Linked DNA regions of Rattus norvegicus. The protein of the gene in region 3 interacts with the protein of the main gene of each other region in a pairwise test. Links are inferred from orthologs where the notes say so. Each region holds a gene or a part of one and is shown on either strand. Other genes may lie near its edges. The genes, in order: Dcc, Dhps and Mapk3.

The links.
Region 1: the proteins of Mapk3 (region 3) and Dcc interact in a two-hybrid assay, tested with the Homo sapiens proteins (2 studies listed by BioGRID). The link is inferred for Rattus norvegicus from reciprocal best matches to the Homo sapiens genes MAPK3 and DCC.
Region 2: the proteins of Mapk3 (region 3) and Dhps interact in binary tests that used the Homo sapiens proteins (3 or more experiments, as listed by UniProt). The link is inferred for Rattus norvegicus from reciprocal best matches to the Homo sapiens genes MAPK3 and DHPS.

What each region holds. Positions count from the first base shown.
Region 1 is NC_086036.1:67,845,670-67,849,319, reverse strand, and holds part of Dcc (netrin receptor DCC precursor), read left to right. Parts: intron 1-563; coding exon 564-884; intron 885-3,650. UniProt on the Homo sapiens protein: Receptor for netrin required for axon guidance. Mediates axon attraction of neuronal growth cones in the developing nervous system upon ligand binding. Its association with UNC5 proteins may trigger signaling for axon repulsion.
Region 2 is NC_086037.1:39,989,006-39,992,755, forward strand, and holds the start of Dhps (deoxyhypusine synthase), read right to left. Parts: upstream 2,414-3,750; 5' UTR 2,340-2,413; coding exon 2,133-2,339; intron 1,732-2,132; coding exon 1,567-1,731; intron 888-1,566; coding exon 766-887; intron 684-765; coding exon 587-683; intron 506-586; coding exon 419-505; intron 1-418. UniProt on the Homo sapiens protein: Catalyzes the NAD-dependent oxidative cleavage of spermidine and the subsequent transfer of the butylamine moiety of spermidine to the epsilon-amino group of a critical lysine residue of the eIF-5A precursor protein to form the intermediate deoxyhypusine residue.
Region 3 is NC_086019.1:190,796,026-190,799,775, reverse strand, and holds the start of Mapk3 (mitogen-activated protein kinase 3), read right to left. Parts: upstream 2,583-3,750; 5' UTR 2,549-2,582; coding exon 2,376-2,548; intron 1,459-2,375; coding exon 1,276-1,458; intron 1-1,275.

The DNA.
Region 1 (3,650 bases), on a different chromosome or scaffold from region 3:
TTAGCCTCAGAGATTGTCAAAATTGGAAGAGTCTTGACTGGACTGACTTAAGTGCACAGCTGTCTGAGAAAAGTGAGCAAACCCTATGATCTCCTGAGAACTTGTCTAGGCCCTGGGTTTATCAATCAGTGTACTAATAAATACTATACTAAAATGCAGATAATGAGCTTAATCAAGTCCATGATATCTTAGCTATCACACTATTGACTGGTCAGACTTAAAATCTTCCAGTTTTATGTGGCAAATACTAATTACGGCTGTCTAAATTTTTCAAGTAATGAATGATGTAATAATATTCTTATCTATAGCTTATGAATTGTTACCTTTCCTAGTAATATTTTTGTGGCTAATTGCTTCATTAATCGGTGTTCACATAAGAATTTGTCTTATGTCTAACACAGAATCCCTGCTCTTAAATTTATCTATAATTAGAGGAAAAAACAAAACAAAACAAAAAAAAAACAAAACTGCTTTTCGAAAAATAAGACTTGTGATGAAATGTTGTAGAAATTGCGACTTCTCAGACTGCATGAATTTAGCTCCCTTCTCCTCTCTCCTTCCAGGTTTCCAAATTAAACCTTTCACGTCACTTCATTTTGTGTCTGAACCTTCTGATGCTGTCACAATGCGGGGAGGAAACGTCCTGCTCAACTGCTCTGCAGAGTCTGACCGCGGAGTCCCAGTCATCAAGTGGAAGAAAGATGGCCTTATCCTGGCCTTGGGAATGGATGACAGAAAGCAGCAACTTCCTAATGGGTCTCTGTTGATACAAAACATACTTCATTCCAGACACCATAAACCGGATGAAGGACTTTACCAATGCGAGGCATCCTTAGGAGACTCTGGCTCAATTATTAGTCGGACAGCAAAAGTTATGGTAGCAGGTATGTAGATATTTTCTTCTCTCCCACTTCTTTTATCTCTTAGATCCTTAGTAGGCATGAGAGATAATCCTTGTAAAAGCAGTGCGCATTTTGAAACTTAACTTTTTTAATTACAACAGTTACAATCTATAAGCTGAAATATGGTCATTCACAATTATATCAAGCTAAGTTTGCATACATTTTTGAGTAGTGAGAATATTTGAAATAACTCTTTGAGCAATGGCAAGGAACACATTACAATTATAAGTATGGTCACTATGCTGAATCATCAGTCTAGAATATATATGTTTTATTTTTTCAAATTGATACTCTGTACAGCTGTAACCCTCGGCCCCCATTCATACCTCACCCTTCTAATCCATGAAGCCTCTCCTGGTTATCATTCTGTGAGCTCAATAATTTAGATTCCACGGGTAAGTAAAAATATGCAGTATTTCTCTTTTTGTAACTTATTTTCCTTAACATAATATGTCCCAGGCTCAACAAGTTGTCTAAAGTAACAGCATTCTTCCTTTCTTTGGGTTGATGCAGTTCCATTGTTGATGTATCTCACGTCTGCTGATGGCCATGAAGGATAATTCTAAATGGGCACTGTAGCTACTCCTACAGGAAGCATGAGGTTACAGTCATCCGCTTGTCTCACTAACTTCATCCATAGGTGGTAACAAACCTGGTGACATTCTTCTTGTGCTGCATCTGTTTTTAGTTTTCTGAATAACATCCATGATGTCACATATAAGGTTTTCTACCAACAATGCCCATTTGTACGTGAACTAAATGAAGATTAAAGGACTGGTATCACAAGGTCTTCTTCTTTTTTTTAACTAATTTTTCTTTTTCAATTAACATGGAAAGCCGGCAGGTGCAGCTCAGCAGTGTGCATAGCTACATGTAATCTGCTTTCACAGCATAGCTGACTCATATGGACTCACTGCTTACATGAACTGGTGGACATATTTTAGTAAGATTTTAGAAAAAAATATACCCTAATCAATTCTATTTTACAGACTCAGTAGTGTTAAACATTCATAAAATCAATGCTGTAAGCCCTGACAGCAGTACATTTTATTTTAATCAGTGTCTTAGTCTGTAATGTAGACCTCAAGTGAGAAATAAAAATGTCCCATTAGTACTTTCAAGTGTAGCTCCCTTATTGACATGTCCAGCTCAATGCCAAAGCATAAGGTGCACACTTTACCTTTCATCTATGAACCTTAAATATATATCTAAATTAAGTAAACAGGGCAGGGTGTTCTTCAGACCCAAACTGTTGCTGTGTCTGCCCCAACTTTTCAGTTTTTCTAAGCATTTCTGGTCGCCTGGGAAGTACTAGATCCATGTGGAGAGGTATCAGATCATTGTTCTTATTAGTGCCTATAATGACTTGATCACTTCTTTATCTCATCTATATTAGTGACTATAATGACGTGACTGTGATCTGGCATTTGAATAGGTAGTGACTCCAAAAGGGGGCATATAGTGAGCTAAAACATGCTTCCTGACCTGTGGGAATAGCAAGTCAATGGGGTGATCCCTGGAAGGAGCAATCAGGGAACCAAATACTGCTGACTCTCTTATCTCGGAAGAGCAGCTTCTAAAACTGTGAGGAAGAATTCCTATCATAAGCAGGTGACTCAATTTATGATATTTTGCTATAGCAAACTAACATAGGCTCATCCCTAACCAGTTCCCTCAGATTTTCCCTCCGCTGATGTGTTCTGCTGGCTAATCGGCTATGAGCAGAATAATGGCTAGTCATTCGGATTTGCCACAGAATGACCTGGGTTAGACATTTGTAAGTCCCATATTCTTGAAAACCTTTCAGCAGTCAGACAAAACTTTGTCCATCATACTGGAGGATAATACTGCCTTGTTTAGTAATGACACCTAAGACAGTGCTTCTCAACCTTCCTCCTGGTGCAAACCTTTAACACAGTAACCTTTAACACAGTTCCTCATGTTTTGGTGATCGCCAAAATTAATAACTGTAACATTGCTACTGTTATGAATTGTATTGCAAATATATAATTTGTGGGATAGATGATCTGAGACACCTGTGAAAAAGTCAGTCCACCCAGAAAGGGTTACGACCCAAAGATTGAGAACCACTATCCTAAAGAGACAGGTGAGAAGATAGCCTGATCATGAAGACCAAGGTGTAAGTTTCCTGGACCTGGTGAAGGATGAGCTTGTAGAATTTCATAGATGTATATAACTCATGGGGAGGATGTGAATTTAATCATAACTGTCATTAATTAAGAGGCTCAGGTGGGATCAGTCCTGAGAAATCCGGAAAGGTTTCATATCTGGGGATAGGGATATGCATGCACCTGGACTTTCGGCAGCTTGTATATTTCTGGACTCGTGAATATTTCCTATCAACTCTCCAAAGGCCAAAGCCCCTCTGATGGTAGGAATGAAACCGGCTGTCATCTTGATGCCCTTACAAAAAGCAACTTTCTCTATCCTGCTAATGAAAATGCCCTGAATGTTACAAGGTGTGTCTCCTGCAACCCAGGTTCAGTTTTATGTTTTCACTGTTTCAGTCGTGAAGTGAGGAACAATTCCTTCCCTGTGAGATATTAAAATAAAGTGGCTTTGACTTTAGTATTCTGTGGAAGTGTAGGCTCAGGGATGTAGTCATTGAGGTGCAGTCTAATATTAGATTGTATCATTTCGGTGCAATAAGGCTCTTCACAGCATTTTAAATACTTGCCATGCTGTTCAGCAACACAGAATACATCAATGTTATGTCTGCTAGGGTTA
Region 2 (3,750 bases), on a different chromosome or scaffold from region 3:
AGTGGCATCCCTCCCGACCTGAGTAGGCTGCTTGATTTCTCTGGTGCACATGACCCTCTGCTTTGCATGTGGATGCAGACGTGAGGAAAAACCACACATGGCTTGAAGAAGGTACTGGCACACTGAGCAGTGTCTTATTGTCCAGACTCTTGAGCTGCACTGTCCCTGGGCACATGGTACCCTGGGTCAGGCCCCACCGACTTCTAAAGCACTACACCGAGTCCCAGGAGTGTAGGGGCATAGCTAGGAGAACCCTGCAGTCAAGTGACGCCTAGCCTCTCTGTTCGACATTCCTCGTCTAACTCTGGGAAGACCAAGAATGATTACTGAGACTTTTAGGTGGCTACTAAGTCAAACAAGTCATTGCAAGTCAAAGCCTAAGTACTGTCCCCAAGAATACTGTCCCCACCCAACCCACCTTATGGGCCCAATAATACACAGACTCTGGGTTGTTGATCTCCTTCCCAAGCCGGGAGATCATCTTGGAAGGTGTCCACTTCACACCCTAACAAGGGGGAGAATATCAGTATTAGCCCATGTCTTCTGACTCAACTATGCAGGTCCACCTGAGCCCTTCCAGCCCTACCTCTGTATTCTGCTCCTGCACCATCTGGTCTAGGATGGGCATGAGCCAGTCCTCAAACTTGCAATAATTGTCATTTGGCACCAGCAGGTTCCCGATCCTAGAAATGGGATCCATGAGGGCATCAGACACTGGGACCCTCAACGCGGCTTCCCTGCTCCTACCACTACTCAGAGCCTCACCTGTTGATCCCATTCTCCCGGAGCTCCTTCCCCCTGAGGCTGAACTCGCCCAGATATGTGGGTGCCAGGCACTTGATGAGATCTTCTTCCACCCCTCCAGCAGTGGTCACCAGTACATCCACCTGTGGTCACCAGCAACAACACAGACCCTTCTTCAAAGTAGTGCCCCTAACATTGGCCTGAGCTCATCCAGACCCAAAGCATGAGCTCTATGACAAAACCAACTCAAGCCTAAAGCAGACCCAGAAAACGTGGCACACTCTTGTGATCCCAGCACTCAGAAAGGAGGCTGAAGTCTAAGAACTGCCAGTATGGGTCTAGAGAGATGGCTCAGCAGTTAAGAGCACTGACTGCTCTTCCAGAGGTCCTGAGTTCAATTCCCAGCAACCACATGGTGGCTCACAACCATCTGTAATGGGATCTGATGCTCTCTTCTGGTGTACATGAAGACAGTAACAGTGTGCTCATATACAAAGGAAGGAAGGAAGGAAGGAAGGAAGGAAGGAAGGAAGGAAGGAAGGAAGAAACTGCCAGTATGTCTAAAAGCAATACTCCATTTCCTCACACCCTTTAAGATTTATTTTATGTATGTGAATACACTCTCCCTCTCTTCAGACACACAGAAGACCCCATTACAGATGGTTGTGAGTCACCAGGTGGTTGCTGGAAACCAAACCCAAATCTTTCACAGAACAGCAAATACTCTTAATCTCTGAGCCTCTTCATGTTTCTTAAATGAACAATAACCCTTTTGTCTACTGGCCCAGAGAGGCTGGGGCCACTGATCTAACGTGGACCCACCATATTGTGCTGCACGAGGTAGCGAATGGTCTCCCGGATGCCAGAACTGATGAGGTTGGACGTATAGCCCAAGAAAATGGTGCAGCCTGTGAGTGGGCGGCGGCTCTGAGTCAGGTCTTCGTGATGATCTTCATCTACTGCCAGTGGTTCCAGCTTCTTCTCAATCTGGGCATAGGGGCACAGTAAAGTTGCACTAAAACTCCAAACCTCAGTGGAGGAACCCCACATGAATTGGATTCCAGACGTTGATTGCACTCAGGGAGACTACTACAAAACCAAAGCACAACCCCTGTGCAGACCCTAACCCTCCCATTCCAGGTCCTGGTCTGTCACTTGGGGTTTGTTCCCTTTTAAGAACAACACAGTGTCTTCTCTTCAGGACTCCTTCCAGTGGGAAAAGCGAATCCAGGGCTCTCCCAGCGTTAAGCTCCTCCTACAAGCCCGTTTTGATTTTAACCCCAAGCTCCTCCCATCGCGGAACACTAGTTAACCAGGACTCCGCCTCTCCCCGGCACTCACGCGGACGGAGCGGCCCCGCCTCCCACCCGGGTCGCCCGGCGCCTCACCATGGCGTTGACTTGCTGCACCGCGCGCCCGAAGTTGGTGGCCTGGAAGCCGGTGGTGCCGTAGGCTTCCAGAAGCGCGTGGTAATCTACCCCGCGGTTGAAGTCGTAACCTTGGACCTGGGCGCTCTCGGGCGGCAACGCTGAGCTGTGCTTGAGCACAGCGGCCAGCGCCGAGGAGGGCGCCGCCCCCGACGGGGTCCCCTCCATGCGCTCTCGGCCGTTCTCTGGTCACAGCAGTCTCGGTGCCCTGGAACCCGCCAAATCCTTCAGCTTGGTCCGCCGGAGCCCAGGAAATGCGACTCGGGGGCGGGGGAGGGGTACCGGAAGCTACTTGAGTCACATGGCCCTGGCAGCGCCTGCGGGCCTGGTAGCAGCCATTTTATTCCCGTGTTCCGTACATGTGGTCCAGGAGCTGTTTGTTATTCCTTGTAGGCAGATTCAGCTTCAAGTAGATAAAAGTGCCTGATTTGCAAACTGTCTGTCCAAATATTCTTGTCCCCCCATGAGCGAGGTGATTGTTTCTAGGACGGAGCCCTTGGACAAGTTAGTTGCAGACTTTTGTCAAATGGGAGTGTTTTCTTTCGGTGCTTCCTCGAGTCGCTACAAACTTCTTTTCCCCCTACAACCATAGTTCAATTTTCACTGGATCATAGGCCTCTGGGGAGACAGGGATGACCACCATCTTTTTGCCGAAAGAAGTTTGTTGAGAATCTTTTCTCATGCGTCCCCTTTAATGATACACTGAACCTAGGACAGGGGCACCCTCATTCTACAGTTTGTGTAATCTACACTAGAAATAGTGCTCTCTGCTGGGCGCTGCGATTTAGCAATGGACTCTGCCCTCCTGATGACTATAGTCTGATGAACAGGAAACCATTAGGTGGCTAAACCAGCAATCAGGAGGTGGAGGCAAAAGAATCTCGAGTTCCAGGCCAGCCTGAACTATTGAAAGCAAGACCCTTTCTCAACAAAAGGGACGGGCATGGCTAGGGAAATAGCTGTCTGTACAGTCCTTGCTTTGCAAAAAAGCAAGAGTGTGGATTGAATATGTGTGTTTAATTGCCAGAACTCAAGAGGGGTAGGGGGTTGGCAATACCAGTAATAGCTCTGGGTAAGCAGAGACCAGTAGATCCTTGGGGATGGGACCTGAAGAATGGCTCAGTAGCCAAAGGCCCATGATAGAAGAGTCTGGACCTGTTTACATTATTGTCTGACCTCCACAAGCATGCCATGCGTGCACAAGCTCATACACACAGGTTTAGGGACCAGGTGAATGAGAGTGACATCTGAGGTTGTCCTCTGGCCTAGAAAACACACACACTCTGTTAAGTGTGAAGGTGGGTTGGAGGAATTGGTAACCAGAGCTGAGGGAAAAGGTGACTGGAGAAAACTGCCAAACACATGATGTTTTGACTGAGGCCAGAAGACCCAGAAAATTCCTGTTATAAAAATATCAGAGACACTATTTCCCCAAAGATGCACAGATAAAGGTCTCCCCTTCGTTTAACCTCCTCTATAGGCTAGCAGTGCCCAAATGCCACATCTGGCTGCAGGGAGATCTGCAATGGGTAGTATGCAGGAGGGCAAAAGGACTTGAATCCCAAGTGAGAGTCTGATG
Region 3 (3,750 bases):
GTCTGAACTGTCTTCCACAGAAGACATGTGAGAGCTGGGGCTGGTGGCACCCAGGATCTCTATGAGTTCAGGGCTAGCCTGGTCTACATAGGGAGACCCTTTCTCAAAAAGAAGAAGAGAGAACAAGCATATGCAGATACACACACATGGACCAACCCTGCCGCTTTACAAATGTGGAAGTCCGGAGGTGCAGAGACCTGCTGAAGGTCATGCAACAAGACAGGAGTAGTCGATTTCCTGTGGTCAGAGCTGCAGAGGCTGCAGAACAAATCCTGGGATCGGGAGGGGTGGGTAGGGAAGAGGCCATGGGTGCTACAGTCTACTAGCAATGGCGCCAAGCAGGAAGTACATGTGGACAATGAACTAAATGTCTGAACTAGGCAAGCAGTGTCAAGCAAGGGCAACAAGGGCTGGACTACCTTTCCTGGTCAAGGTACAAGGCCGCAGGTAATCAGGGTGGGGCTCTCAGAAGAGTGGGAAGGCTCCAAGAAAGCCAACTGGGGAAGAAGAGGAAGCAACAAACAGGAACAGCTGAATTTAGGCTTTCTTCTATAGGCAGACTCTCAGGGCCCCTCGTCCTTCCTTGAGCCCCTGGCTAGACCAGGAGTGCAAAGGCGTGGCTCCGCCCTGTGAGTCTAGGGTCTTCAGGTTCCTCCTCTTAACAATGCAAGGTGGTGTGAAAGCCTCCACCCTCTCCACGTTGGAGAAAGTATCGCCCCTCCCCCACAGAAGGCCCAGCAAAACACAGAGCCTCAGTTTCCTCATCTTAGAAATGGACGCGGTAAAGCTCATCACACAGGGAAGCTAAAAGGTTGAATTAGAACCAAAGCGCTAGGCATGCCCAATGCTGGTTTTCTTCCTCGCTTTCAATCCAGTGTGAGGTCTCTAAAGAATCGTGAGTCTGTTGAGCAAGAAAGGGCTGTGGGCAGAGACTGGGTCATGTCACAGAACTGCAGATGTCAGAAGACAAAGCTCCCATAGAGATGGTTTGCCCAGCATTCTCCCCTCCCCACACACCATACTGGGGCACAGAGCAGAAAAGGATGTGTTCAAGGCCACTCCACTTGGCTGCAACAGACCAGGATCCAAGGCCTGCCAGGGTGCTCTTCTGCTCCGTAGACTCTCAGCTAAAAAGTTACTTTGCTGGGTTTTTAAGTTTTTTGGTTTTTTTTGGTTTTTTTTTTTTTTTTTTTTTTTGAGGGTGGCACAACAGACGACAACAGAAAGCAAAGCCAAGCTCCTTAGCCTCGCTCTGGAGCTGTGGCTAAAGGATACACATCTCTCATGGCTTCCAGGGTGGGTGCTCTGAGGATGTCTCGGATGCCTATGACATTCTCATGGCGGAATCGCAGCAAGATCTGGATTTCTCTCAGCGTGCGCTGACAGTAGGTTTGATGCTCGAAGGGGCTGATCTTCTTGATAGCCACTCTGGTCTTGCGCACGTGGTCATATGCTGAGCTGAGAGAGCCAGAGAGATGTGTGGCCTTACAAAGGGGGAATCCAGGCCTGGTGGCCCCACCCAGGCCTTGGCAGGGACCGGAGAGAGCAGGAGAGGGTTCTGGCCAAGTGTAAACAATGCTGGCTCCTTCCTGCTGTGAAGGCCTGGAATCTCCAGGGGGAAAGCTGGGGACCAGCCAGGCAGCCTTTCAGTGACTTCACAAACAGAGGAAGAGAGTGGCCACTCACTGACTTCCTTTCTCCTGGACCCTCTTACATTGTAGTTGCCCTCACCCTCCTCCCCTTTCCTGAGCTGGACTCTCTCAATCCAAGACAGGTCCAGGGGATGGGAGTTAAATGGAGAGAGTGGATGAAACCCAGAGGATTCAGTAATGGGACAGGGGAAGAGATAAGAAGGGGTAGGTCTGTCTCCCGGTGAGGTTCCTGGGTCAGAGCTGTTCCCATAGGAACAAAGGCCCAGAGCACAGAGTGGGGCAGCGAGAACTCACAAACCTGTATCCCACAAAATAAGGCACATTCTAGAGACCCCTCCCTACTTTGGGCCTCTGGCAAGGCCAGGGGCAGGGGTGCAAAGGTTTGCCCCACCCTGAGCTTTGCTCTGCTCTCTCAAACTCTGTCACAACCTCATCAGGGGGGAACCAAGGCTCCCACTACCTGCTTATGGGTCTCTCACTCCCCCTTCACCAAGAATAGTCATCCTCTTAGCTCCACCTGTATCTCTAGGGTCCCCCAGGTGCCCCTCCCTTAACAATACAAGGTGGCTTCCAAGCCTCCAACCCCCCTTCCCGGAGAAAGTAGCTCCTGGTCCCCCAGAAGTCACTGCACGATCCCTCCCCTGCGACACTCCCCGGACCCCATGTCCCGGGCACGCACCTGCTGTCCCCGCTCTGAAGCCCCCTCCTGGGACACCCCCTCACCTGACCATGCCGTACGCGCCCTCGCCGATGTACTGCAGCTGCGTGTAGCGTGGGCCCACGTCGAATGGCTGCCCCTTCACCACCTCCACCTCCCCGGGGACCACCGGGACGACCCCAGCAGTTCCCCTGGGCTCCCCGCCCCCGCCCCCCGGAGCCGCCGCCGCCGCCGCCATCTCCACTCCTCCCGCCTCCCCCCGCTGCCCCGCCCGCGGCCCCGCCCCTCCCTGCCGCCCTGTCACCGCGGGGCCGCGCGCCAGGCTCCGCCCCCGCCCCCGCGCGCCCCGCCCCCGCGCCTGCCCGGCGAGCCTGCGCGGGCCCGCGATGTCACGTGGTCTACTGAGAGCGCGCCCGGCTTTCCCGCCTAGTTACGCTGTTCCTTCCTTGCCTTGGCCACTAGGGTACTTTAGTCTGCCTAGAGAGTACTGCAGCCCCAGGGGCCAGTGGCCCTGAGTGATGCTGAGGGAACCCACCCCTAAACTTTGGAGACCTGCCTCTCACTTTTTGTTTCATTTACGCAGACAGTATTAATCCAGGCCAGCCCCAAAGGTTCTATGTGGTGGAGGTTGGCCACATCCTCCTACCTTTAGGCCTGAGCCATCATGCAGATTCTGGATGTTAGGCAAGAATCCTATCACTGAGCCACATTTCCATCTTCTCTCTCTCTTTTTTTTTCTTTTTTTCTCTTCCTTCCTTCGTTTCTTCCTTCCTTCCTTCCTTCCTTCCTTCCTTCCTTCCTTCCTTTCTTTCTTTCTTCCTTTTTCTAAGAGGGTCTCTTGACATGGAACTGGCTGTCCTGGAACCCACTATGTAGACCAGGCTGGCCTCAGCATACTAACTCCCCTGTGCTGGGATTAAAGACTGTATCACAATGCCCAGATTCCATAATTTCTTATTCGTTTATTTGCCACATTTATTAATTTTGTGTGTTGGGGCATGAGTATGTCACAGAGCCTGTGTGGAGATCAGAGGATATCAGATTCCTTCTGCTGTGCAGGTCCTAGGTATCCGACTTGGGCTGTCAGACTTGGTAGGAAGTACCCACGTTTGCTGGGCCCCCCTGTGGTGGTGGTGGGCTTATCCTAAGTGTTATAGTGAGGAAGCAGTCTGAAGGGTGGTGGATGGCAGGCAGCACTAGAAAGCTGTGAAGTCAGGTATGCTCCTGTGAAGAGGCAGGCCTGCAGTGGGCTCAGGTGTGTTCTGAGACCCAGTGTTATTGCCTGGAGGACATGCAACCCAGCCCACTTCATATGAGAAGGAGGGAAAGGGTGATAACTGTGAACAAAGATAACTAAATCAATTAAAATGTACAATCTGTTTCTCTCTCTCTCTCTCTCTCTCTCTTACACACACACAGACACACACACAGACACACACA